Saccharomyces cerevisiae S288C: one gene and its partners. The protein of the gene in region 2 binds, or shares a complex with, the protein of the main gene of each other region. Each region holds a gene or a part of one and is shown on either strand. Other genes may lie near its edges. A codon is read from its position in the direction of its gene.

The links.
Region 1: the proteins of SPC98 (region 2) and TUB4 are in contact, whole or in part, in a cryo-EM structure (PDB 7M2W), measured with the Saccharomyces cerevisiae proteins. Residues at the interface, in NP_014273.1 of Saccharomyces cerevisiae: Lys478 (codon at 4,834), Met483 (codon at 4,819), Gly484 (codon at 4,816), Lys485 (codon at 4,813), Ser486 (codon at 4,810), Asp487 (codon at 4,807), Met489 (codon at 4,801), Asp490 (codon at 4,798), Ile493 (codon at 4,789), Glu494 (codon at 4,786), Leu522 (codon at 4,702), Ser524 (codon at 4,696), Arg526 (codon at 4,690), His527 (codon at 4,687), Leu528 (codon at 4,684), Ser531 (codon at 4,675), Pro532 (codon at 4,672), Arg533 (codon at 4,669), Asn534 (codon at 4,666), Lys594 (codon at 4,486), Asn597 (codon at 4,477), Tyr598 (codon at 4,474), Gln601 (codon at 4,465), Met604 (codon at 4,456), Leu605 (codon at 4,453), Lys606 (codon at 4,450), Asn608 (codon at 4,444), Asp609 (codon at 4,441), Ile611 (codon at 4,435), Arg612 (codon at 4,432); in NP_013313.1 of Saccharomyces cerevisiae: Met1 (codon at 1,922), Gly2 (codon at 1,919), Thr44 (codon at 1,793), Glu45 (codon at 1,790), Arg46 (codon at 1,787), Asp47 (codon at 1,784), Asp48 (codon at 1,781), Asp49 (codon at 1,778), Thr50 (codon at 1,775), Lys51 (codon at 1,772), Asp131 (codon at 1,532), Cys159 (codon at 1,448), Pro163 (codon at 1,436), Lys164 (codon at 1,433), Lys165 (codon at 1,430), Ile166 (codon at 1,427), Glu196 (codon at 1,337), Asp197 (codon at 1,334), Ser198 (codon at 1,331), Asp199 (codon at 1,328), Pro245 (codon at 1,190), Ser246 (codon at 1,187), Tyr247 (codon at 1,184), Met248 (codon at 1,181), Tyr249 (codon at 1,178), Ser250 (codon at 1,175), Ser251 (codon at 1,172), Ser253 (codon at 1,166), Ser254 (codon at 1,163), Tyr256 (codon at 1,157).
Region 3: the proteins of SPC98 (region 2) and SPC97 are in contact, whole or in part, in a cryo-EM structure (PDB 7M2W), measured with the Saccharomyces cerevisiae proteins. Residues at the interface, in NP_014273.1 of Saccharomyces cerevisiae: Ser163 (codon at 5,779), Ser164 (codon at 5,776), Val165 (codon at 5,773), Thr166 (codon at 5,770), Leu167 (codon at 5,767), Arg168 (codon at 5,764), Leu170 (codon at 5,758), Ser171 (codon at 5,755), Tyr174 (codon at 5,746), Tyr175 (codon at 5,743), Asn177 (codon at 5,737), Thr178 (codon at 5,734), Asp203 (codon at 5,659), Glu205 (codon at 5,653), Gln206 (codon at 5,650), Ile207 (codon at 5,647), Gln208 (codon at 5,644), Ile209 (codon at 5,641), Pro210 (codon at 5,638), Ser211 (codon at 5,635), Lys212 (codon at 5,632), Ile213 (codon at 5,629), Pro214 (codon at 5,626), Asn215 (codon at 5,623), Phe216 (codon at 5,620), Ser218 (codon at 5,614), Gly219 (codon at 5,611), Leu220 (codon at 5,608), His222 (codon at 5,602), Leu223 (codon at 5,599); in NP_012042.1 of Saccharomyces cerevisiae: Met1 (codon at 3,243), Glu2 (codon at 3,246), Ile3 (codon at 3,249), Lys4 (codon at 3,252), Glu5 (codon at 3,255), Asp8 (codon at 3,264), Arg9 (codon at 3,267), Ala10 (codon at 3,270), Glu11 (codon at 3,273), Leu12 (codon at 3,276), Thr16 (codon at 3,288), Ile19 (codon at 3,297), Pro20 (codon at 3,300), Leu21 (codon at 3,303), Leu22 (codon at 3,306), Gly23 (codon at 3,309), Lys24 (codon at 3,312), Leu25 (codon at 3,315), Val26 (codon at 3,318), Asn27 (codon at 3,321), His28 (codon at 3,324), Gln29 (codon at 3,327), Pro30 (codon at 3,330), Leu31 (codon at 3,333), Trp32 (codon at 3,336), Asn35 (codon at 3,345), Pro36 (codon at 3,348), Lys37 (codon at 3,351), Leu38 (codon at 3,354), Phe41 (codon at 3,363).

Annotation. Positions count from the first base shown.
Region 1 is NC_001144.5:564,360-568,009, forward strand, and holds TUB4 (gamma-tubulin), read right to left. Parts: upstream 1,923-3,650; coding exon 501-1,922; downstream 1-500. Other genes in the region: ATG38 (Atg38p), read right to left, coding at 1-95, 155-172; CRR1 (putative glycosylase), read right to left, coding at 2,295-3,563. UniProt on the Saccharomyces cerevisiae protein: Tubulin is the major constituent of microtubules. The gamma chain is found at microtubule organizing centers (MTOC) such as the spindle poles or the centrosome, suggesting that it is involved in the minus-end nucleation of microtubule assembly.
Region 2 is NC_001146.8:382,790-393,491, reverse strand, and holds SPC98 (Spc98p), read right to left. Parts: upstream 6,266-10,702; coding exon 3,725-6,265; downstream 1-3,724. Other genes in the region: NAF1 (RNA-binding snoRNP assembly protein), read right to left, coding at 1-600; ESBP6 (Esbp6p), read left to right, coding at 1,325-3,346; FAR11 (Far11p), read right to left, coding at 6,644-9,505; TEP1 (putative phosphatidylinositol-3,4,5-trisphosphate 3-phosphatase), read right to left, coding at 9,829-10,702. UniProt on the Saccharomyces cerevisiae protein: Involved in microtubule organization by the microtubule organizing center, the spindle pole body (SPB). Probably part of the microtubule attachment site at the SPB.
Region 3 is NC_001140.6:445,093-455,793, forward strand, and holds SPC97 (gamma-tubulin-complex subunit SPC97), read left to right. Parts: upstream 1-3,242; coding exon 3,243-5,714; downstream 5,715-10,701. Other genes in the region: ribosome-binding protein NMD3, read left to right, coding at 1-292; ATG7 (Atg7p), read left to right, coding at 621-2,513; YHR173C (uncharacterized protein), read right to left, coding at 5,723-6,061; phosphopyruvate hydratase ENO2, read left to right, coding at 6,235-7,548; CTR2 (low-affinity Cu transporter), read left to right, coding at 7,780-8,349; YHR175W-A (uncharacterized protein), read left to right, coding at 8,466-8,615; FMO1 (N,N-dimethylaniline monooxygenase), read left to right, coding at 9,137-10,435. UniProt on the Saccharomyces cerevisiae protein: Involved in microtubule organization by the microtubule organizing center, the spindle pole body (SPB). Probably part of the microtubule attachment site at the SPB.

The DNA of each region.
Region 1 (3,650 bases), on a different chromosome or scaffold from region 2:
CCTAAAACTTCAATGGCTTCTTGATACTTCGCTTTTGCATTTGTAAAATCTCCTTTTCGACATTCCTGTTCGGCGTCCTCAATAATAGTATAAACCTAATTCATGTTAGTCACCATGAACAAAAAAAAAGTGGGGGCATAATTCAAAAACTTACTTCCGCTAAAGTACTCATTCCATCACCAAGATTAGTATAACTGTCGTTGAATTATCGAACTAATCCGTGCAGCGATACAGATGTTTTTTATTTCAAACAGAGCGTTCCATTACGCTGAGTTGAATCATCTGGTTTTTCTACCCTTTAGGAAATTCTAAAGTTGAAGAGGCGCTATCGATGTATGCAATGATGAAAAAGTGGTACAGAGCTTTATACATATTACAATACAGTGCAGAATTTATAAAGGGAGATAATACATTTGAAGCGGTTGTTGGTATAGATATATTGAGAGTACTATAATAAAACTATTGGGCGGTGGTAAAATTCCTGAACAAGGAAGGCATCATTATACTAATTTATGATCACCGTCGGCATCCAGGTCCTCTTCCAACTCGCCAACCATATTTTCATCATCAACAAGTACATCGTCCAAGTACGAATCTTGTTCTGCAGCTACATAATCCTCCATCAGGCTTTGTACTACTTCTCTTGACTCGGCGAATTCATCTTGAACGTTCTGCATTGATTGGAACAAGTCGCCTACATTATAATTATTTAAAAATGCGCCCTTGGCAAATACTTTGTCAAAAGTATTGCACGCATTCTCAAAGACGTTCACCACGGTAGACATATTGCTTAACATCATGCCGCTAACTTCGTTTTCATTTGGTTGTAAAGGCAAGTATGGCGATCTTCTTCCAATGTTAACGTGCATCGCAGAAGAGGACCATGAGGGGAATTTGATGCGTTGTTGTAATTTGGTCATAGCACGCGATATCTGACGAGGTTCTACATTACCAATGATTGTATTATAAACGTTAAAATATGTTGGATTGTTCATCGCGGTAGAGACAAGAGAATTGGAAGGGTCTAATAAATCTAACATGACGTCATAACTGGAATGGCCTTTATGCGCTATATCATCGTGAATATAATCTGATGTAAATGGAGTGAAACTAGGGCTTAGGAAATGAAGTTCAGGAGAAGGAATCAAGGTAGAGTAAATACTGGACATGGATGAATACATGTAACTCGGAAACCGTATACTGTTCGTTACTGAAGATATTATGGTCGATATCAATTGATTCGTGTGTTGTAAATCGATGTTCGGATTTCTAAACACTTTACCGGAAATATTCAGCAACGAAGCGTTATCAAACACCACCGTTGCATCGCTATCTTCTATCAGTCTTCTCAAAGCCAGAATAGTGTTATAAGATTGAACAACAACCTCAGAAGATCTTGCAGGGAACACAGAATATGTCGTGAGTATTTTTTTAGGATATCGATCACACAGCGCTTCTAAGAGGTTGGATCCGAGCCCTGAACCGGTCCCTCCGGCTACTGAGTGCAGCAACTGGAAACCTTCGAAATTGTCGGTAGAATCAATCTCCTTGTCGATCTTGTTAAGAATATCATCCTGGTTACGAGTTCCTATATCATACCCATTGGCCCAAGAATTACCAGCGCTAGCGCCATCAGAAGCTACCCAGGTATTTCTTGGGTCGAAAAACCCACGAAATGTGTTCTCCACGTCGGCGATGACACTAGGCTCGGAATCCATCATAATAGCCCTTGGCGTAAACTTATTCCTACTGTTTTCGCGGAAGAAAGGCTTTGTGTCATCATCTCTTTCCGTACTGGAATCAGGAAGCTGAGATAGCCCATCGGTGCCTATAGCGTGTTCTTTCGCCAATTGAGACCAGAGAAACTTACCAACGTGGTTCCCGCATTGACCTGCTTGCAAAGTAATAATTTCTCCACCCATAGATAGTTATATGTTGAATTCTTATACATGTGACTAACCGATATTACGCATTTGTTCATTTCGCAGCTACTGTTACGATTATTATTTATTACATTTAATGAAATTTCCCAAAAGATAATATTAACGCGTTCTGTTACCCGGTGATATTTTCTGAATGTCAGGGTAACAAAGAGAGAACGTTATAATGGGAGAATAGTAAATATTTGCTTTAGGAAATTAGTAATAATTGCAATGCGGAAAATAGGTGCATTTTGTGTTTCTTGAAAGGTTTGAACTAAAGAATGTATACATATATATTAGAGCGTGCCTTCATGCAGGGAATTAGAGGATCCGTTACGGAAGAGAGAACTTCGTAAGACATTATTGCTGTGACTATTTTGACCGTTTCCAAGAACTCAACCAGTCATTTATCTTTGGAGTAACAAAGCAGTCCCATTTGAGAGACCCCTCATCATGATGATTCAGTCTGTCTTGCCTGTTATACGAAACGACTACTCTTGACAAATCTTTTTGGGAAAAGGTTGGTGCCTTTTTCTTTGCCTTTATACAAAACTGCACTTGTTCTGTGAATTTATTTTGGTACGGCGTTACGGTGATTTGTTCAACATGCGCCGTAAATTGGCCCTTTTCGATAATATCGGGTGAATTTTCCCAATCTATGAGGCCACCTGCCCAGTTTATTGTACCGGGTCCGTTGGTTTCCGAGCCGCCTGGCCAAACAGCGATTTCTAGTCTCATCGGCGTTTGTGGGTACCTATATTCTTTACTAATGGGGTCCCAGGTATCCTTCTTCAGGACTGTGCGAGCTATTTTACCATCAACATACCATATTATCCTATCCGGGTCCCAATCAATCTCATAAGTGTGGTAAGTGGCCCAAGTGTCAGCGCCTACGGGAAATCTTTGCATTCTTGTGTAATCCAAATGCCCTTGAGAATAGTAGTTTGATTGGGCCGTCATTAAATCACCACCCAGCCACTCAAAATCAATCTCGTCCCCAATTGCGGATGTTAAGTCAAATGCAGTCACCACACCCCTCGACCTCGCCGTTTTCATTCGCACGCTTGCCTTGCCGTATAGAAACGACCTGGTCGATGTGATCAAACTTCCGGTAGTTTTTTTTGGCATAGCCAGAACAATATTCCCGCTACTCGCTTCAATTGATGTGTAGCCGCTATGTGTGAAATCGAAATCTTCCAACATTTTCTCTGCCTCTTTACTGTCTGGAGTGACCAAGAATTTGGCGTAGTGTATGATTCTCTTGGAATTTAGCTCCCCTTCTACTACACCCACCTTGGTATTTGCCTTATTCGGTCCATTTCCCTCTCTTATTGGTGGCTTAGGTTGATAGTTCACAATAAATTTAGGAACCTTTGGTGTGCTAACAAATTCAAGTTTTTGACTGGCGACTAATGCAGGTATAGGAGCACAGCTTTCCTCGTCGAAAGATGACCTCACGTTGCAGCCACCGACACATATCGGTCCAGCGCCACATTCATTATACGGCGAGCAGCACGGCCATTCTGCGGGACAAGGGTTATTTGGAGAACAAGAAATGGAGTTTTTGGGTTTGTATAATTCTCCCAGTGCAAATCCGATGTAGCCAACAACCGGCACCAGCTGTAATATTGATATTCTCATATTTTTATTTCGTGCAAAAGCCCTTGATGATACTCTAAACTAAACGACTGTTCTTGTATTTCGTTATTAATCGATAATTATTAGCTG
Region 2 (10,702 bases):
TGAATCGGGCAACTTAATTCTATAAAATGGGTTTTGCAAGGGTCCAAACACCTCCGTCAACATCCCGATCAAAGTTCTATCCTCGAGACAGAAAATGGAACCCTCTTTTAAAACACGCTTTTCGCCCGACATCGTGGCGTGAATGATTATATTATTTTCAAATGCAGACTTCAAAACACCAATAGGAGTGATGATCGTTTTTTCTGAAATTTCATAATCTTCCGGTAGTTCAGGAACAGTTTCCTCTAGTATTTCGTTCTTCGATAGTATAGGACCGGAAGGTGAAGGGTCTTCGTCTTCGTCTTCATTTTCAATCGCGTCACCACCTTCGTCCTCTCCTTCAACGTCCTGATCTGCAGAATCATCCTCACTACCTGAAGAGCCAGAATCAGAATCAGAATCAGAACCGGAATCTGATTCGGATTCAGAAGAGCCGGATCCTAGGCCTGTTGATCTTTCTGCGTCTGCTACCGGTTCATCGGTCTTCCTCTCGTTCCCACCATCACCTAAAAGACCTAAATCAACATCATCCTTGGGCAATTCCACGTTCAAGTCCTGGTCGGGATTCTCCAAAGCCTTAGAAAACAAGTCATCGCTCATGATTAGCACTGTTTCGACGTGCTATATTGTGCTTCTTCCACTTTCATACCGCTTCATCCTACCTATCATCCTACCATCTTTTTCCTTTACCTTTAAGCTCATCGCCTGAAAAATTTCATGGCCGCAAAAAGAAACGCGCAGACCGTTACCCGAGTGGTAGTGCCTGACTCATTTATGTGCCAACTAAGCATTGCTCGAGAACAAACTAGTGAAAATGTAAACCAGGGAATTTATCATTTGGTCAAAGACCCTGACGAACTAAAACTGTCAAAGGCTGATAACGCAGTAAGAACAGACGGAGGCCTTATACCGCATCTTTGCAGACCACAGTTTCCTATATCTAGTTACAATAGCGCTTGCCGACGATAACCGAGATAACGTATCTTTGCCGCGGGCTATCTCGGCAATCTGCAAAAAAAAAAAACCCCCGCCGCTATTGAAGAAAAGTCTTCGGGAGAACCTGGATAAATACTTGGCATTCCTTAGATCTTGATGCTTTGTCCACTCATATCGGAGCCAAAACTAGACTGTTTCTTCTATATTCTACCAAAGCTGCTAGACTTAGACAAATTTTCTTTTGTTAGTTAAATGTGCGAGTCAGAATAGTATTTTGCATTTGTCACACCACATATTTAAAAGTTTTATCTTTTTCTTTTGTTTTCTCCACTTTTCTTTACTTTTTCTTTAGGTATAATTACGGGGCTTCTGAAAATAAATCTGAAAAATGTCAACGCACTCAAACGACTACTTTTCTGCTTCTTCCGGAATGGTCTCTGAGACATCGTCCGAGGTTTCTTCGATAAACTCTTCACAGCCTGTATCATTCTCTAAGGCTTCTATTGCTGCTCCGGTTCCATGCTCTGATCTACACAGCACCAAGTCGAACGATGCATCGAGAAAATTGTCTATTAGTAGGACGTTAACTAATCGGCTCAACGACATTAAAAAGGCTGTCGATGACGACAACTTGCAGACGGAAGAAAATTCCGCAGACGTTAATAAAATATTAGAATCTAGATTTGACGTGGCCGATGCCATTAGGCTACAGCACAATGAGTCAGTCCAGTCAAAGTTAAACATCCCAGTCACACACACCACGACTGCAGGCGCCTCGTTGTCGGCACCATCTTCCTCTGCTTTCTCTGCTTCTTCTATTCAAAATGATACTACAGAACATAAAGCTTCCATGGACTCCAAACTCATGAGGAATAGACTATATCCGGCTTCCACGAAACACTCCGGTAAGGATCTTGAGGCCCAAGGAATAACCGAATTCGAGCCTGATGAACCGACTGTAAAAAAAGTATTCACCAACAAGTCTACCGGGCAGCTGGAACTGCCCCCCGACGGTGGTTATGGCTGGGTCGTGACATTCTGTGTGTTCTTGACCATGTTTTCCACGTGGGGCTGCAACGCATCCTTCGGTGTCGACCTTGCCTACTACTTAAACCATGATACTTACCCTGGTGCTTCGAAGTACGATTATGCCTTAATTGCTGGCCTAACTGTCTTTCTCGGTCAACTCTTATCCCCCCTTGTGATGGCACTGATGAGAATAATTGGTCTGCGGACCACCATGCTTTTTGGTGATGCTGTAATGCTTGCCGCATATCTCTTGGCCTCCTTTACTACCAAGTTATGGCAATTGTATGTCACCCAAGGTTTTATGGTCGGTTGTTCAATATCACTGATTTTCGTTCCAGCAACAACCGTCTTACCAGGATGGTTCTTGAAAAAAAGAGCTGTCGCAATGGGTGTCTCATTATTGGGTACCGGTGCTGGTGGTGTCGTTTACGGTTTGGCTACAAACAAAATGCTTTCTGACTTTGGAAATACCCGGTGGTGCCTTCGTATCATAGGCATATCGTGTAGCATAAGTGTTCTAGTTGCTATTGCGCTCTTAAAAGAAAGAAACCCTACACCTGCCATAGGATTGAAATCGCCTCGGGCCATGTTTGAACAGCTCAAAGCAATGTTTTCATTAAAGGTTATAACTAAGCCATTTGTGGTACTTATTGCATTATGGTTCATGTTCGCATTATTTGCCTACAATATGATGGTTTTTACTTTATCTTCATACGCAATCTCGAAAGGATTATCATCGCACGACGCTTCCACATTGACTGCCATTTTGAACGGCTCGCAATCCATCGGAAGACCTCTGATGGGTTTAGCGGGAGATAAGTTTGGTAGGGCAAACGTAACGATCGTATTAACCACTTTGTTAACAATATATATGTTTGCGTTCTGGATCCCCGCTCATACGTTTGTTCAACTCATCTTTTTTTCAATTCTAGTTGGCTCATGCGTTGGTGTCGCCAACGTCATGAATACCGTTCTGATTGCCGATATGGTTAAACCAGAAGAGTTTTTGCCCGCTTGGGCCTTCGTCAACTACTGTGGTGCGCCTTTCTTATTGGTTTGTGAGGTGATTGCCCAGGCATTGACGGTGGAGAAAGATAAGAGCAATCCTTACTTACATGCACAAATTTTTTGCGGTTGCTGCTTTATTGCCGCACTAATTTTAATTTCTATCCTTCGTGAATATTCTATCAGGATGAAATTAACGGAAAGACAAGCTATGACAAACGAGAAGTTAAAAGAATGGAAGGCAAGCGAATACGATACCGATTCTGCCGATGAAGATTGGGGTAAATTAAAAGAAAGAAAGACTAAATATGACCTTCTTTTAGGTCCGGGCATTAAAAAATACTTCCTAAGAATGGTATATCCAATGAAGGTCTAGTTCTTTTCGACGACCTGATTCATGTTATATACGCGATAGTTACGTCGCCTACTCATCATATCATTAGTACATAATATTCAATATCTCCGCTTCACCTAATTAAATTTCTTTATTATCAAAAAGACGTAAAGTTAACGCTGAAAAAGCATTCTTTACAGAAAACGACCTTTTTTTAACCTAATATATTTAGCACTGTAAAGATATTCCATGTATCCATATGTAATACACTTTGTGTTGCGGATCCAGGAAAAACAAAACGAAAAAAGAGTCTCTTTACTTGCAAATAAATCTGTAAATCATTTGCTACCATTACAACTTATACATTAAACCTGCGTGGAGGAAATTTATTATAAATGAAAAACGGGACGGGATCATTTCTTAACGGAGCGATTTGCTCAATAAGAAAAGCTCTTCATCGCCATCGTTCTTTAAATCTGCCCTAAAAATATACAGTCTGTCTTTAAAATTTTTATACTGGCTAACAATTTCCTTTAAATTCGTATTAAATTTTCCCAATAATCCGTTAGATGCTTCGTGATCATTGAGATTCATTTTAATGAAGATTTCGTATCCAATGTCGTTCAAATTACAATAAACTTTGACGAACTCGTAAACCGAATTTAAAAGTAAAACCAATGAAGTTGGGTATGGTTGCCCAGAATAATCACCAACGCTTATTTCACTTGTGTTAGTTGCAAAAAGCTTATGAGAAAGAATATTCGTCAAGAACGTGTTATGTACACTTTCTAATTCATCAATATTCAGCGTCTTTTCGATTGCGTGTTTTTGGGGTTTACTGCTTGAAGACTTTGTTAGTACTTCAGCTTTTGGGGTTAAAATCCCATTTAATTCTATGGTGCCATTATTTAATCTAATTAAGTCGAATTGGTTTTGGCTTTTATTCTCTGTGCGTTGCAGTTTCCGGGTCATTTCTTTAAAATTTTCCTCTATAATGCAGTTCAAATAATAAGATTCCATCTTCGAGTTGAATTGCTGGAATTGAGTTCTAAGTATACTGATTCTAGAAAGTTTATTGATAATATCACGGATGAGCGGGTTGTAACCTCTGATTTTCTTGAATGATCTGATTATATCATTACTCTTCAACATTTCCTTTTGATAGAAATAATTGTTCTTTTTAAATCTCCATAAAAAATTGAAAATTCGTAGATACTCTTTCCTGCCAAAAGGACGATTTACGTTTAATACTAAACTCAAAGGGGGGTAGAGGATGTAATCTAAAGTAAAAACATCCCAACCCACGGATCCATGTCCAAGATCGAGTACCCTCGCATCCAATCCATTAATGACAGAACTATTACGGGGACTATTCATTAAATGTCTTAAGGAAGAAAGCTGCACGGCTTCCTGTAAAACCCTTGTTAACTTATAATTTGGCAATGAATCCGATGGTGTCGCGAGAATATCATTGGCCTTTTCTATAAGAGCATCCATAAAATCAGATTTACCCATGAGAAGAATATTCTTTAACGCAAATACCACGTCTCTGTAATGAAACTTCTGATTTAGAATTTGATTAGTATGATTAACAATTTCAGAATATTGATCATTTATAATTTCAAAAAAGTTCGTTGATATTCCCCGATAAGAATTGCTCTGGTACAGGACATGATACTTTTTAGAAAATTCGTTTGTCCATTGAACCTCTTTACAGTACTTTTCTAGGAAGATATACGATTTGCCGATCATGAATATTTTATATGCCAACTCTTTCGGTATGAAGGCCGGAACTCTTTCTTGGTTGAACTCTATAGGAATGTGGTAAATAAAATCATCGTCTGTACCATTTGTATCAGTGTTTTCAGCAATGAAGAATTCTCCATAAGTAGCTCGGAGTAGACCTTTAGTCAACCAATTCATTAAATACTCATAATAAAGAGAAATCATTGAATTAAACAAATTCGTTGCTATTTTTCTTATAGTAAGATCTCCGTGGGATTTGAAAATATTTAATTCAATCAAGAATGTATCTCCGCTCAATTCTTCAAGGTGTTCTGTAAACCTACAGTATATTCGAAGCCTTATTATATTTTCATATATTTCACGATATAACGATTTCAATGACACTACTGTCCCTGAAGAGACCAGATTGTTCACAAATGCTGTGTAGTTTTGTAATTCTTCTGAAATTTCTATAATCAATGCTTTTTTCATTGGAGATATATTCAACATCCTAAACTTCTCCACTTTATAACCCAAACTTTGATATAATAAACCCGCTTCAAATATTAAATGTAAAAGTCCACTCTCAAAATTGGGTATCTTAGACGGAATTTGTATTTGCTCATGATCAAACGGAAATAGTGCCGATGTCGTAGCTAATAATGTATATGATACGTATTTTAGGATATCTTCCTCGGGTATAGTGTTCACATAATAAGGATTTGACAACTGTCTCAAAGTAACAGAACTGTAGGTTGAAGAGGGAACGTAACGATTAGGCGAAGATACCATGGACCTTCTTTCAGAAAATCGGTCCATGTTTTCAAATGAAGCTTCTGTATATATACTTGGAGCCCGCACTGGGCTAAGTAAATGTTCATGGTTAGCAAGGTTCTCCATATTGAGCCCAGATGATTTTTGGACAATTTTTGCTCTGTAATTTGATGGAAGCAAAGATTGAAAGACAGAGAGGTACTTTACCATATCATCGGTGTTCTGGATTCCAAATAAAGCATCGAGAAATTTCTCAATTTTATGCCACATAATTGTTGTTTCAGGCGAATCTAGTGATTGTAATTTGTAAAAATCAATTAAAGGGCCTAATTGAGTTGCCGATTTGGTGGATGATCGCAGTAAATTGACTACATCAGATACAAATGTCTGCAAATGACTCTGCGACAATAATTGAGGAGCCAATGCCTCTATTATACCAAAAAGAGTGGGCTCTAGTTCCATATTGATTTTTCAGCTACAACTGAAATAGACTGTAATATATATTATGGTTATGCTTAGTATTCTGGCTCTTCTATTTCTTATATGCAGATGAAGCCATCAAATGAGTATATTTGTTTGTTTTGTTTAGTTTTGTTTACAAACGCGACGCATCAAAAATCGTTACCCGTATATATTATGATAATAGAAATCCAACAACGGTTGTCCTAGTATCCCACTTGTGATATGAAGATCCAATCATCACCATTGCGCGATCAAATAAACACTATTTAAGGGGTTTTCATGCTCCTCCATTGAAAACTATATAAACATAGGGAGGGATAGGAGATTGTTAATGACAATAACATCGCGCCCCGAGCCTCGGTATCCGTAAGTAGAGATTTAAATATTCAAATACTCGGATTCCTTGTTTAACAGATCTTGGCTGGAACTATTACGGTGTCCATATCCAAGGTCCTCCATAGATATTTCATAGTGTTGAAAATTGTAAAATTGAAGCAAGGCCCGGAGTGCAATTTCTTGACCACAAGCATCGCTCAACTCTCCTGATATATCCTTCCCTGTTACCCAATTATCAGTTAACTCCAGCTTTTCATAAAGGTAAACCCCCGATATCAATTCCATATGCTCGGATTTCCACCTCTTGTTTTTGAATGGTGTGAGTTCTCTTGTTATTTTCAATATTGGATGATACATGTCAAGGTTGAAGAGCCGATAATAGCGTTTAAATAGAATGCCGATGGAGAGGGGCAGCTCCTTTAACCTTTGTGTTTTATTCCCTGTGACTTTTCTCAAGATTCTTAACAGATATGCAAACGAAGGCATAATCTCCGTGTCGACCTCTCCTGAGTCATCTACTGAATAGGATTCACGATAAGACTCGTTAGAGAGAGAACACTCCTTCCAAAATGAATTCGGGGTTTGTACATATTTATTGAAAACCCTCTCTGGATAAACCTCAGAATATTTGCTTAAAATAGATGCGCATGTGTTGATGTATCGCGAATCGTGAATAACTACCGCCAAGTGTTCAAATTTCAAAATATGGCTTAACTTAAACCACTTCAATAACGCATGTAATATGCCCGCTGCTGACTTTAGGGACAATTCCTTAGCTCTCACGATCTCCAATTGGGGTGTCAGCATATTTAGAAGATTTTTATCGGAGACTTCACTTTTCCTATGAAAGTTATTTGTCAAGCTTGATTCCATTGTTTGCAGTAAGACAAAAACAAGAGAGTTAAAGCTCGAAAGGCAGCTCTTATAATATTTGTCAATTCGCTGCATAATGCAAATCGCACTTTTTTCCTCTTTTGAAGAGTTTGCATCATGATTAAGCGCGGCATAATCATATGGCTCATTTTCTAATTGCTGTTTCCAACCACGTTCAGTTATCATGAATAAGTCCCTTTCGTACCAAAGTTGTTTTGTACTCAGCTTAATTTCTAAACTCTCGCTTAATATTCTCGCTGCCTCTTCGGTACTGAATGGAATAACTATATCGTTATCAGGTTTTCTCTCTATATTTAAATCTATCCTATCTTCCAGAGTGTCATCTTCAGATCCTTCATTATCAGATGGATACAAACACGGATATGCCATGTTTGTTTGGAAAGATTTACGAGGTCTAGGACCTTCACCTAAATGCATTAATTGTGGAGAGCTTGGCGGTGAAGGAGCAGGTGTAGCAATATGTTTTTCAGGAACAATGAGCGCCATATTTAGAGGATTCTTTGATTTTGGACGAGGAATTTCCAGAAACTGGGAAAGAGATTCTGATTTGTCAACATCTTTAGGTAAGCCAGAACTGGGCATATTGTAATCAGGAAAACGGGAAGTAATGTCCTCCCTGAATGCTTGATAATGTAATGGGGAGATAGAAAGCTTTTCTGGATGCTTTGATGGATATGTTAAGCCATGGAGATTATAAATAGATGATTTGGTCTGTTTGTAGACAGAACTGTCACCAAATTGTAATACAATAAGCTTGAAGAGCAAAGAAATCATATTTCTTATGCGCATAGCTAATCTGCTATTCCACCTCCAATTTTCAATATACTTTGTTAAAAATTCCAACAAATCTGTTTTCTCAAAAGCGTCGATAACAACATTTACTGCTTCCGGATTTTCTCCTCTACCTTCTATACAAATACTGCATATGAAGTATAGGATTGTTGACGAATGAAATAGCAAAATTGTTTGTTTCTTTAAATTTCTGTTGTCATCCCTACAACTTATTGCAATCTTCTTGAAGGCATGAACAATTTCTTGAATATGAGGAACAAGCATTAAATTGTTGCGTCGTATAATCTTTGTATGCTCACTTTTGCTATTCGTAAACGCAAAGCATCCCATAGAAATATATGATAATGCGAGTAAATTAGATGCTAAAGAATTGGGGATGTCTTCAATTAAACATTCAACTACGCTCGCAGCATAGTTTTCATCATCAAAGAATAATTGTGGTTGCGTAATTTTCTGTTTAAACAGAGTCTGTGTCTGTCCAAAATGCATATAATCAGAGCTGCAAAACCATTCCGACAGTTCATCTTCCAAAGAATAAAACATCTTCAATTCCCAGTCCACTGCTCTTTGTAAAGCATAAGGTGCACTTGATCTTTCCTCAAGTGAAGCTGCGCACTGGTCAAGTGATTTCTGAAATTCTTTATCTACCGGCATATTATAATCAACTTCGCCCTTTTCATTGATAGGAACATGCTTGCCATCAGAAACCTTATTCAAATCAAAGCCATCCAGTTCATCTACATTAGCAAATGATTCATCCTCATTCTCCTCTTCAGCTTCTTCAGCATCGTCTTGAAATTCAACGGCGTTATCAGTATTATTATCTTTCTCATTATTTCTATCCTTATTAACGCCATCATCACTGAACTTAAAATTATCATTTTCATCACTACTATCTTGCTGTATATCTATGGTACGAATATCTCCCTCAAGACCTGATCTTGCCTTGAAGGTTAAGGCACTGATATTTCCATCTGATTTATTTCTTTTATCGGCATGAAAACTGTTTCTTCCCATGTTCAGTTTACCGCGCAACATGTTGTCCAAATCTTTTAGCAGTTCTTCGTTGCTCAATGTTCCGACCTGTGGTTCTTTATGTGAAGTGACTTCATCTTTGTACTTTAGATTGCCTTTGAAACTAGAGTTTCTCTTAAGATCTTCTAAAGACACAGACCTTATAATGGGGCCTTTGGAATGAGATCTTCCACTAGCATTCATTTTAGCGAGGCTTATAAATGAAAATTTGTCACTTAACCTTCTTCTTCGGCTATAAATACTAATAAAATTTCTCTACAATGCCTTTCAACCTACTCCTTGGTTCTCATATATTTCTTCCTGTTTCTAGAATGGCGTTTTGATTCATATAATTGACCGCTCCAAAAAATACCTGCCAGTAAATTAAAGTACCATACAAGAATATTGAAGAAAAGGAAAAGAATACATAATATAGAAAAAAGCCTACCAAAACAAACCAATTCACAATAAATATAACACTTTTAACTAAGTTTAACGAATGAATGGATTTGACGAAATGCATAAACCTATATAATTTCCCATTCCAATTTCAGTGCCTGAAATAATTTCAAGCCGTGAGTGCTGAGCTCCCCAAAACCGTCCAGCTCTTGCCAGCTTATGGTTGTCCCAAGCATTTCGTCTCTCTTTAACCTCTCTACTTGAAAGTAATCTGGCGAAGAATCGTCTTTAATTATGTGCATCAAAGTCTCAAGGTATATATTCAGCCAACAGCTGGCGCATGAAGTCCAAGATATTATGCTACTGGCGGCTTTGGACTTGCTGGTCCCCAGGGTAAATTCTATACGACAATCATTTTCCAGTGTTAAGTAGTCCCTACCAAAAATGAAGGTCATATTACCACCGCATTCATGCGCCATGATATCTGAATATACTACTTTTCGGGTTAGGAGGGCATTTCTATCATCGTTGTAGTGTTGAATCTTAGTAGTTACAATAGCAGACTCGGAAGTGATTAAGCTTGATGGGCGGAGGAACGTCATTTTAGCAAGCCTGAATTTAAATTTGAATTTTACCGCCTCATTAGAAATTCCTTCTTGGGCTGCTTTTTCATGGGTAATAAAAAACTCATGGTACCTTAAGTATCTTAATTGAGAGGGTATGGTGACGCCATTCGTCATACCATACTTGAATCTAGCCTGCATGAATATCAATCTTGCTTCTCCAAGAGGACACTGCAAGTATTTCATGAGGTATGCTACTGTTATCATACCAGATCGGCCTTTCCCCATTCGACAATGTAAAACAGCCACTCTATTCTTCGAAACGGACAGGTAATTTTCTATACCATCTACAATCTCTTCCAGCAGTTCAAATGGCGGTGGAAAATGATCTAGCCAACCGATCCTTTCACAAATTACATTATTGGTTTCTTCTTCGACC
Region 3 (10,701 bases), on a different chromosome or scaffold from region 2:
AGATATCGATGCATCCTTAGATTACAATTCAAGAGCTCAAAAGCAAGAAATGGAACGTGCAGAAAAGGACTACGAATTATTCTTACAAGAATTAGAAGAGGATGCTGAATTAAGACAAAGTGTTAACCTATACAAAAACCGCGAAGCAAATGTACCTCCTGAAGAGCATGAAATGGATGAAGACGAGGATGAAGACGCTCCACAAATCAACATTGATGAATTATTGGACGAGTTAGATGAAATGACATTAGAAGATGGAGTCGAGAACACACCCGTTGAATCTCAGCAGTAAAAAAACACCAAAGAATGGAGAGTAGTATATACTCTTAACAAACACTAGCATTTCAGTTTATCTATATACATATATATGGATGTAAAATGTACTTTATGGAAGAACAAGCCACCACATGTTGAAAACTAGATAGGCAAGCAAGATTTTTCATTTGTAGAGCTCTTACGCAAGATTTTTAAACTTCCGCTTTTTTAATCCATGAGATTCCTTTGGACACCCTTTCCGGCACGGCAAAACAAAAAAATTAAGGGAACTCATTATTTTACGATGCTACTTAGATAACTAAAGTTCATTATATTTCAACAAATATAAGATAATCAAGAATAAAATGTCGTCAGAAAGGGTCTTAAGTTATGCACCAGCTTTTAAATCATTTCTGGATACATCTTTTTTCCAAGAATTATCGAGATTGAAACTCGATGTTCTGAAATTAGATTCAACATGCCAACCACTTACTGTGAATCTAGATTTACACAACATTCCTAAATCTGCTGATCAAGTTCCATTATTCTTAACAAATAGAAGCTTTGAAAAACACAATAATAAGCGTACTAATGAAGTGCCTTTACAGGGCAGTATTTTCAATTTTAATGTATTAGACGAGTTTAAGAATCTTGATAAGCAACTATTTTTACATCAAAGAGCATTGGAATGCTGGGAAGATGGAATAAAGGATATCAATAAGTGTGTTTCTTTTGTGATTATTAGTTTTGCTGACCTAAAAAAGTACAGGTTTTATTACTGGTTAGGTGTTCCCTGTTTTCAAAGACCCTCTTCAACAGTTTTACATGTGCGGCCAGAGCCGAGTTTAAAAGGGCTGTTCTCAAAGTGTCAAAAATGGTTTGATGTCAATTACTCAAAATGGGTGTGTATACTGGATGCAGACGATGAAATAGTAAATTATGACAAGTGTATTATTCGAAAAACTAAAGTTTTGGCGATAAGGGACACTAGTACGATGGAAAACGTCCCTTCTGCTCTAACCAAAAATTTTCTCAGCGTGTTGCAATACGATGTTCCTGACTTGATAGATTTCAAACTATTAATTATTAGACAGAACGAAGGTAGCTTTGCATTAAATGCTACATTTGCTTCTATTGACCCACAATCATCCTCAAGTAACCCAGATATGAAAGTTTCTGGATGGGAAAGGAATGTGCAAGGTAAGCTAGCACCACGTGTTGTTGATTTAAGTTCATTGTTAGATCCTTTAAAAATTGCTGACCAATCCGTGGATTTAAATTTGAAGCTAATGAAATGGAGAATTCTTCCTGACTTAAATCTAGATATCATCAAAAACACAAAAGTACTACTACTAGGTGCTGGTACACTAGGTTGTTATGTTTCACGCGCATTGATAGCATGGGGGGTTAGAAAAATAACATTTGTGGATAACGGTACAGTTTCATATTCAAATCCAGTGAGGCAAGCGTTATATAATTTTGAGGACTGTGGAAAGCCAAAGGCAGAACTTGCGGCTGCGTCTTTGAAAAGAATATTTCCTTTAATGGACGCTACTGGTGTGAAATTAAGTATTCCTATGATCGGTCATAAATTAGTAAACGAGGAGGCTCAGCATAAGGATTTTGATAGATTAAGAGCATTAATAAAAGAGCATGATATCATTTTTTTATTGGTGGATTCTCGAGAAAGCAGATGGCTTCCGTCGTTATTGAGCAACATCGAAAACAAAACCGTTATTAATGCTGCTCTGGGGTTTGATAGCTACTTAGTTATGAGGCATGGTAATAGAGATGAACAGTCTTCAAAACAACTGGGCTGTTATTTTTGCCATGATGTGGTAGCACCAACTGACAGTTTAACTGACAGGACTTTGGATCAAATGTGCACAGTAACTAGACCCGGCGTTGCTATGATGGCCTCTTCTTTAGCAGTTGAATTGATGACTTCCTTACTACAGACCAAATACTCTGGTTCAGAAACAACAGTATTAGGGGATATACCTCATCAAATACGTGGGTTTTTGCATAATTTTTCCATCTTAAAATTAGAAACTCCAGCCTATGAGCATTGTCCAGCATGTAGCCCTAAAGTTATCGAAGCATTTACAGACTTAGGTTGGGAATTTGTTAAAAAGGCCTTGGAGCATCCACTTTACCTTGAAGAAATTAGCGGTTTGTCAGTCATAAAGCAGGAGGTCGAACGACTAGGCAACGATGTTTTTGAATGGGAAGATGATGAATCTGATGAGATTGCTTAATATTTTGCATATAATAGCATTGGTACATATTGTGGTGCCACTTTCCGTAATTAAGCTACTAAATTTTTGACTCTAACGTTTATAACATTGAATTATTAAAATGATCTTGCTATACTATTTTGCATACATTATTTTTTGTAGTTTTAACAAGAAGACAAATTCTTGACTTTACTCACAAAACATAAACATAAAATGTAATAAAGTCCTCAATGTTCACCGTATTTTTCAAAAAGGATCAGTGAAAGTGTCGGTAAAGCTACCTTTTTGATACTTTCTTTTTATGAGAATAAGTTGTATTTCTTTATTATGTATGATACGGGCGTTCAATCAATACGTTTTAAGTTCGTTGCTGACGGCTAAGAAATTGGTAAGAGGAGTAGTTCCATCAATGTCTAAAGTGATATGATAAAAACTATACGATTTGAAGATCTATGCGTTCACTTCACGTATCCAAGTTTCCCCTCCTAATAATTCACATTAATTTGGCATTCATATCTAAAGCGTTGCTATTACCCTTCCCCTGGTAGTCGCGGAACAACAAAAAACGCCAAAATAAGTAATGAAAATGTAAACAAAAAGGAACTAAGTTGAAAAGTCATCGAAAGCGATACCACCTGGTTCTTTCTTCATTATAGACTAATTGTTGCGTGCCAAGAAGTTGTTTGTGTATCCATAATATTTATTATCAAACTGATCTAAGATTGCTTTGTACACATCTTGCGTGAAAAAATGGAAATCAAAGAGGTAGATGACAGGGCAGAGCTACTGAGATATACCAACAATATTCCGTTACTTGGAAAGCTAGTCAACCATCAACCATTATGGAGTACAAATCCTAAGTTAAAGTCCTTTTCGCTAGAAAAAATATCAGCCCCTGATCAAAGGCGTGTACAAGAGGCATTAGTTGTAAAAGACCTATTAAATGTATTGATTGGACTTGAAGGAACATACATCAGATATTTTAATGATTATGAACCTAGTGACCCAGAGACACCGATAGAATTTAAGATTGCCAAGAAAATGGATCCATCATTCAAAACATTCAGTAGAAGAATTGTTAGGTATGGTAAGCAATACATGATATTAACAAGGGCGTATGAAAAATGGTCTGACACAAGCTTTGGGATGGTTTTGCAAAGATTTGCTTATGAAATCAGAAGATTCTTAGAAGACGTCTACTTAAAAACGTTAGTTGAAAGGCTTGAAAGGGACTTTAACAAAGTGCCAAACTTTTCTATCAGAGAACTAGAACAAATCATTAATGAAACAGAAGTAAACAAACAAATGGAGTTGCTGTACAATATTTATGAAGAAATTTTTAGAGAAATAGAAGAAAGAAGGACGAACCAATCTTCACAAGAAGATTTCAATAATTTTATGGACAGTATGAAGAATGAAAGCAGCTTGCACTTACGATTAATGGTAGCATTTGACACAACAGTATATCCGGTACCCAAAGGTGGTGCCATATTGAAAATTTTTCAGCAAAAAATACTGGAAAATTTGGGTGATAGGTCAAGCGTAATGTTTTTGAAGAAGCTATTGAATAATATAAGCCAAGACTATTGCACAATGCTGTATGAATGGCTAACACAGGGTATTTTAAACGACCCTTACCAAGAATTCATGACTTATGATGATTTGGAAGGTAAGACGGATAACATATTTGACACAAGAGACAGAGCGTGGGATACGCAATACTTCATAAGAAAAGATGTTTTGTTGCGGGATTGTGACTCAGAAGAGGATAAGAATCTACTATTCAAGATGTTAAGGACCGGTATTTTACTCAAAGTTGTTCGAGCTAGCTTACAAATACCCACCATACCTTCTAATAGCAGTGATATAACCATTCAAGAAATCAATGATTTCGCTGACTTAATGGAGGGTTCTAATCTTGAACTTTACGTGGATAAATGTTACAGCAGAGCCAATGAAATATTTTTAAAGCTATTTTTTCAAGGTTACGATTTGATCAATGTATTAAAACATTTGCAACAAATTTTTCTTGGGTATCAATCTGGTCATAATGTTTTAAAGTTTCTAACAAAAAATATGGGTGAGTTGACCAAACACTACAGGAATGATAATAATGCAAACTATGACAAGCTGCTACAAAATTTTGAGTTAGAGAGACAATCCGAAAATCCAAACAACCTGATGAGGCAACTCCTGATGATACAGTTCGATACAGAAACACTTCCACAAGTCTTATCGCACTACCTCCAAATTTATCCAGAAGTACCTGAGAATAACTCAGCAAATGACGACAGCGACCCATTGATGCACGCGAATAATTTCAAGAATATGAATGCCATTCTTTTTGATGAATTAAGCAAAGAACGAACGGGAGCCTACCATGGATCCAATCTAGAACTATATACTCCAAAAAGCGCAATTTATCATTTAAAATTTGACATCAACATACCTTATCCATTGAATATTATTATTAGTAGGACATGCATGATAAAATACCAAATAATCCTGCGCTACCAACTAGTTTTACAATACCACTCAAGGCTTTTGGATGAGACTTGGATGGACTTAAACAAAACACCCAGCTGGAAATACAGAGGCTATTCGCACACTGTGAAGAGGAGGATAGTAAGGGCAACGAGAGTGCTGCATGCTAAGATGAACCACTTCATTAAAACCATCATGGAATATTTCAACCAAAACGTAATTGATAAAGAGGTATACTCATTAGAAAAGTGCTACAGAAATCCTACTCTTGCCGTTGCCATCCAAAATGAGCTAGAAGGTGGATTAACAAATATAATGACAAATCGTTGCTTGTCTGACTTGATTCCACTACAGTTACAAATATTTGACATTGTATATAAGTTTTGCAAGTTCATCAAATCTATGAGAGCAAAATTATGTCAACTGGACCCCGTACTATATGAGAAACACAAAAGCGGGATGATGAAAACACTAAACGAAGGCTATCGTACAAACAATGGCGGTCAGGAAGATGTTGGTTACCAAGAAGATGCCGCCCTGGAATTAATTCAGAAGCTGATTGAATACATTAGCAACGCGTCCAGCATTTTTCGGAAGTGTCTCATAAACTTTACTCAAGAGTTAAGTACTGAAAAATTCGACTTTTATGATAGTTCAAGTGTCGACGCTGCGGGTATAGAAAGGGTTCTTTACTCTATAGTACCTCCTCGCTCAGCATCTGCTTCTTCCCAAAGATGAACGCGGCGTTATGTCACTAACGACGTGCACCAACTTGCGGAAAGTGGAATCCCGTTCCAAAACTGGCATCCACTAATTGATACATCTACACACCGCACGCCTTTTTTCTGAAGCCCACTTTCGTGGACTTTGCCATATGCAAAATTCATGAAGTGTGATACCAAGTCAGCATACACCTCACTAGGGTAGTTTCTTTGGTTGTATTGATCATTTGGTTCATCGTGGTTCATTAATTTTTTTTCTCCATTGCTTTCTGGCTTTGATCTTACTATCATTTGGATTTTTGTCGAAGGTTGTAGAATTGTATGTGACAAGTGGCACCAAGCATATATAAAAAAAAAAAGCATTATCTTCCTACCAGAGTTGATTGTTAAAAACGTATTTATAGCAAACGCAATTGTAATTAATTCTTATTTTGTATCTTTTCTTCCCTTGTCTCAATCTTTTATTTTTATTTTATTTTTCTTTTCTTAGTTTCTTTCATAACACCAAGCAACTAATACTATAACATACAATAATAATGGCTGTCTCTAAAGTTTACGCTAGATCCGTCTACGACTCCCGTGGTAACCCAACCGTCGAAGTCGAATTAACCACCGAAAAGGGTGTTTTCAGATCCATTGTTCCATCTGGTGCCTCCACCGGTGTCCACGAAGCTTTGGAAATGAGAGATGAAGACAAATCCAAGTGGATGGGTAAGGGTGTTATGAACGCTGTCAACAACGTCAACAACGTCATTGCTGCTGCTTTCGTCAAGGCCAACCTAGATGTTAAGGACCAAAAGGCCGTCGATGACTTCTTGTTGTCTTTGGATGGTACCGCCAACAAGTCCAAGTTGGGTGCTAACGCTATCTTGGGTGTCTCCATGGCCGCTGCTAGAGCCGCTGCTGCTGAAAAGAACGTCCCATTGTACCAACATTTGGCTGACTTGTCTAAGTCCAAGACCTCTCCATACGTTTTGCCAGTTCCATTCTTGAACGTTTTGAACGGTGGTTCCCACGCTGGTGGTGCTTTGGCTTTGCAAGAATTCATGATTGCTCCAACTGGTGCTAAGACCTTCGCTGAAGCCATGAGAATTGGTTCCGAAGTTTACCACAACTTGAAGTCTTTGACCAAGAAGAGATACGGTGCTTCTGCCGGTAACGTCGGTGACGAAGGTGGTGTTGCTCCAAACATTCAAACCGCTGAAGAAGCTTTGGACTTGATTGTTGACGCTATCAAGGCTGCTGGTCACGACGGTAAGGTCAAGATCGGTTTGGACTGTGCTTCCTCTGAATTCTTCAAGGACGGTAAGTACGACTTGGACTTCAAGAACCCAGAATCTGACAAATCCAAGTGGTTGACTGGTGTCGAATTAGCTGACATGTACCACTCCTTGATGAAGAGATACCCAATTGTCTCCATCGAAGATCCATTTGCTGAAGATGACTGGGAAGCTTGGTCTCACTTCTTCAAGACCGCTGGTATCCAAATTGTTGCTGATGACTTGACTGTCACCAACCCAGCTAGAATTGCTACCGCCATCGAAAAGAAGGCTGCTGACGCTTTGTTGTTGAAGGTTAACCAAATCGGTACCTTGTCTGAATCCATCAAGGCTGCTCAAGACTCTTTCGCTGCCAACTGGGGTGTTATGGTTTCCCACAGATCTGGTGAAACTGAAGACACTTTCATTGCTGACTTGGTTGTCGGTTTGAGAACTGGTCAAATCAAGACTGGTGCTCCAGCTAGATCCGAAAGATTGGCTAAGTTGAACCAATTGTTGAGAATCGAAGAAGAATTGGGTGACAAGGCTGTCTACGCCGGTGAAAACTTCCACCACGGTGACAAGTTGTAAAGTGCTTTTAACTAAGAATTATTAGTCTTTTCTGCTTATTTTTTCATCATAGTTTAGAACACTTTATATTAACGAATAGTTTATGAATCTATTTAGGTTTAAAAATTGATACAGTTTTATAAGTTACTTTTTCAAAGACTCGTGCTGTCTATTGCATAATGCACTGGAAGGGGAAAAAAAAGGTGCACACGCGTGGCTTTTTCTTGAATTTGCAGTTTGAAAAATAACTACATGGATGATAAGAAAACATGGAGTACAGTCACTTTGAGAACCTTCAATCAGCTGGTAACGTCTTCGTTAATTGGATACTCAAAAAAGATGGATAGCATGAATCACAAGATGGAAGGAAATGCGGGCCACGACCACAGTGATATGCATATGGGAGATGGAGATGATACCTGTTCGATGAATATGCTATTTTCGTGGTCATACAAGAATACGTGTGTCGTCTTTGAATGGTGGCATATCAAGACCCTGCCTGGACTGATTTTAAGTTGTTTAGCAATTTTTGGTCTAGCCTACCTCTATGAGTACTTAAAGTACTGTGTCCATAAGAGACAATTATCCCAGAGAGTATTGTTACCAAATAGATCTCTGACCAAGATCAACCAAGCCGACAAAGTGTCCAATAGTATTCTATATGGTTTGCAAGTGGGATTCTCATTCATGCTCATGCTTGTATTCATGACTTATAATGGTTGGTTAATGTTAGCTGTCGTGTGTGGGGCAATATGGGGTAATTACAGCTGGTGTACTTCGTATAGTCCTGAGATAGATGACAGCTCCCTCGCCTGCCATTAAGATGGTGACAAATATTACAAATTTGATACTATTTGTATCTATTTTGTTTTTATCCGGGATTTTTCGTATTTCTTCCTCATTCATACCCTTCCCTTTATTTGTTCCCACTGAGTATAATGATAAACTACGTTAACATTACATGTATAATATTTAGCACTCGTACGTTACTAGTCTTTGACACAAGTTTATATATCCCCCCCTTTATGTTATCGTTTATTGGCTACAGCCTCAGTAATCAAAATAGTCCACTATTTCTATATCATTAACTTCTGCGTCGCCAAGATGTTAATCATGAAACGATCTAGTTCTTCAACAGTTTGCCAGCGACCATTCGAGCTAATCTTGAACAAAAGTAATACTATTTAAGGGTGGGCGCGGGTTGTTATACCGTTTTGAGACGATCTACTATAACGTTATATTTAATTATATAAGTGATGAATTTAATGTCCCGTCCACAACACGAAATCGCACCTCATTTCAACGCGGCAAGTATTAATGTTCTGCTTTATGAAAGATTCCATGAACCCTTTTCTACCTTTTAAATTCCTCTTTTCACTCTTAATCACATGATATTACCTTTACATAGGAAGCGCCAGACATCTTTTTGCCGAGAAAAGCCATTATGCAAGATAATCCTGTAGCCTCATATCAAGGATAAATGCCACTGCAAAAACGCAGTCGTTATTTGGGACTGTATTTAAATGGGCCACTGTTTTTATACAAGTCGAAAATACAATAATACAGAAAATTCAAGCAGGAAGCGAGAAATAACAAGAAGTAACTAGGCATGACAGTGAATGACAAAAAAAGATTGGCAATCATAGGTGGGGGGCCAGGAGGGTTGGCAGCTGCAAGAGTTTTCTCGCAAAGTCTTCCAAATTTTGAAATAGAAATATTTGTAAAGGATTACGATATTGGCGGTGTCTGGCATTATCCAGAACAAAAAAGTGATGGGAGGGTCATGTATGACCATTTGGAAACCAATATATCAAAGAAGTTAATGCAGTTTAGCGGCTTTCCCTTCGAGGAAAACGTCCCTTTATATCCGTCTCGAAGAAACATTTGGGAATACTTGAAAGCCTATTACAAAACGTTCATTGCCAACAAAGATGCTATCAGCATCCATTTCAGCACCGAAGTTACCTACTTAAAGAAGAAGAACTCTCAATGGGAGATAACATCTAAAGACGAACTAAGGACTACTAAATCGGATTTTGACTTCGTTATTGTTGCGTCTGGTCACTACAGTGTCCCTAAACTACCAACTAATATCGCAGGTCTCGATCTATGGTTCGACAATAAGGGCGCCTTTCATTCTAAGGATTTCAAAAACTGCGAGTTTGCCCGTGAAAAAGTCGTTATTGTGGTGGGAAACGGCAGTTCCGGCCAAGATATTGCCAACCAACTAACTACCGTTGCAAAGAAAGTATATAATAGTATAAAAGAGCCTGCGAGCAATCAACTGAAGGCCAAGTTAATCGAGACTGTCCAAACAATAGACAGTGCCGATTGGAAAAATCGTTCAGTTACTTTATCTGATGGAAGAGTACTTCAGAATATAGACTACATTATTTTCGCCACAGGCTATTATTACAGCTTTCCATTTATAGAGCCCTCCGTTAGACTGGAAGTGCTAGGTGAGGGTGTTACTGGCGACAAGCACTCGTCTGTCAATCTGCACAATTTGTGGGAGCACATGATCTATGTAAAAGATCCTACGCTGTCCTTTATCTTGACCCCGCAGTTGGTCATCCCGTTCCCGTTGTCGGAACTACAGGCGGCTATTATGGTCGAAGTATTCTGTAAAAGCTTACCGATAACTACAACTTTCGACTCTAATGCCTGCGGAACGCACAACTTCCCAAAGGGAAAGGACCTGGAATACTATGCAGAACTACAGGAACTACTGAATAGCATTCCACGTAGGGTCGGTCATTTCGAACCAGTTGTATGGGATGATAGACTGATCGATCTAAGAAACAGTAGTTATACAGACAAAGAAGAAAGAAATGTGCTTCTAGCGGAACACGCACAAGCCCTAAAGAAAAAAAAAGCACCATACTTCCTTCCGGCGCCACATACTTAACGTAAAAAGGAATGTACTTGTATAGAAAAAACACATATTGTGCCGCTTAATATTTCGTTTCCCTCATGTATATACCTTATCGCTGTTAAAATAAGAAATCTTCACTTCTGCTATCTTTTTTTTTCAAACATTGATTAATAATCCGGCCGTCCGCAGATTGCTTACGCAGAATATACCGTACCGCCACCGTAAAATTAACGAATACTTAAATTTCCGCCTCTTCCGTTTCGGCAATAGCGAACCTTAATGTAAGTTTTTAAAAGGCA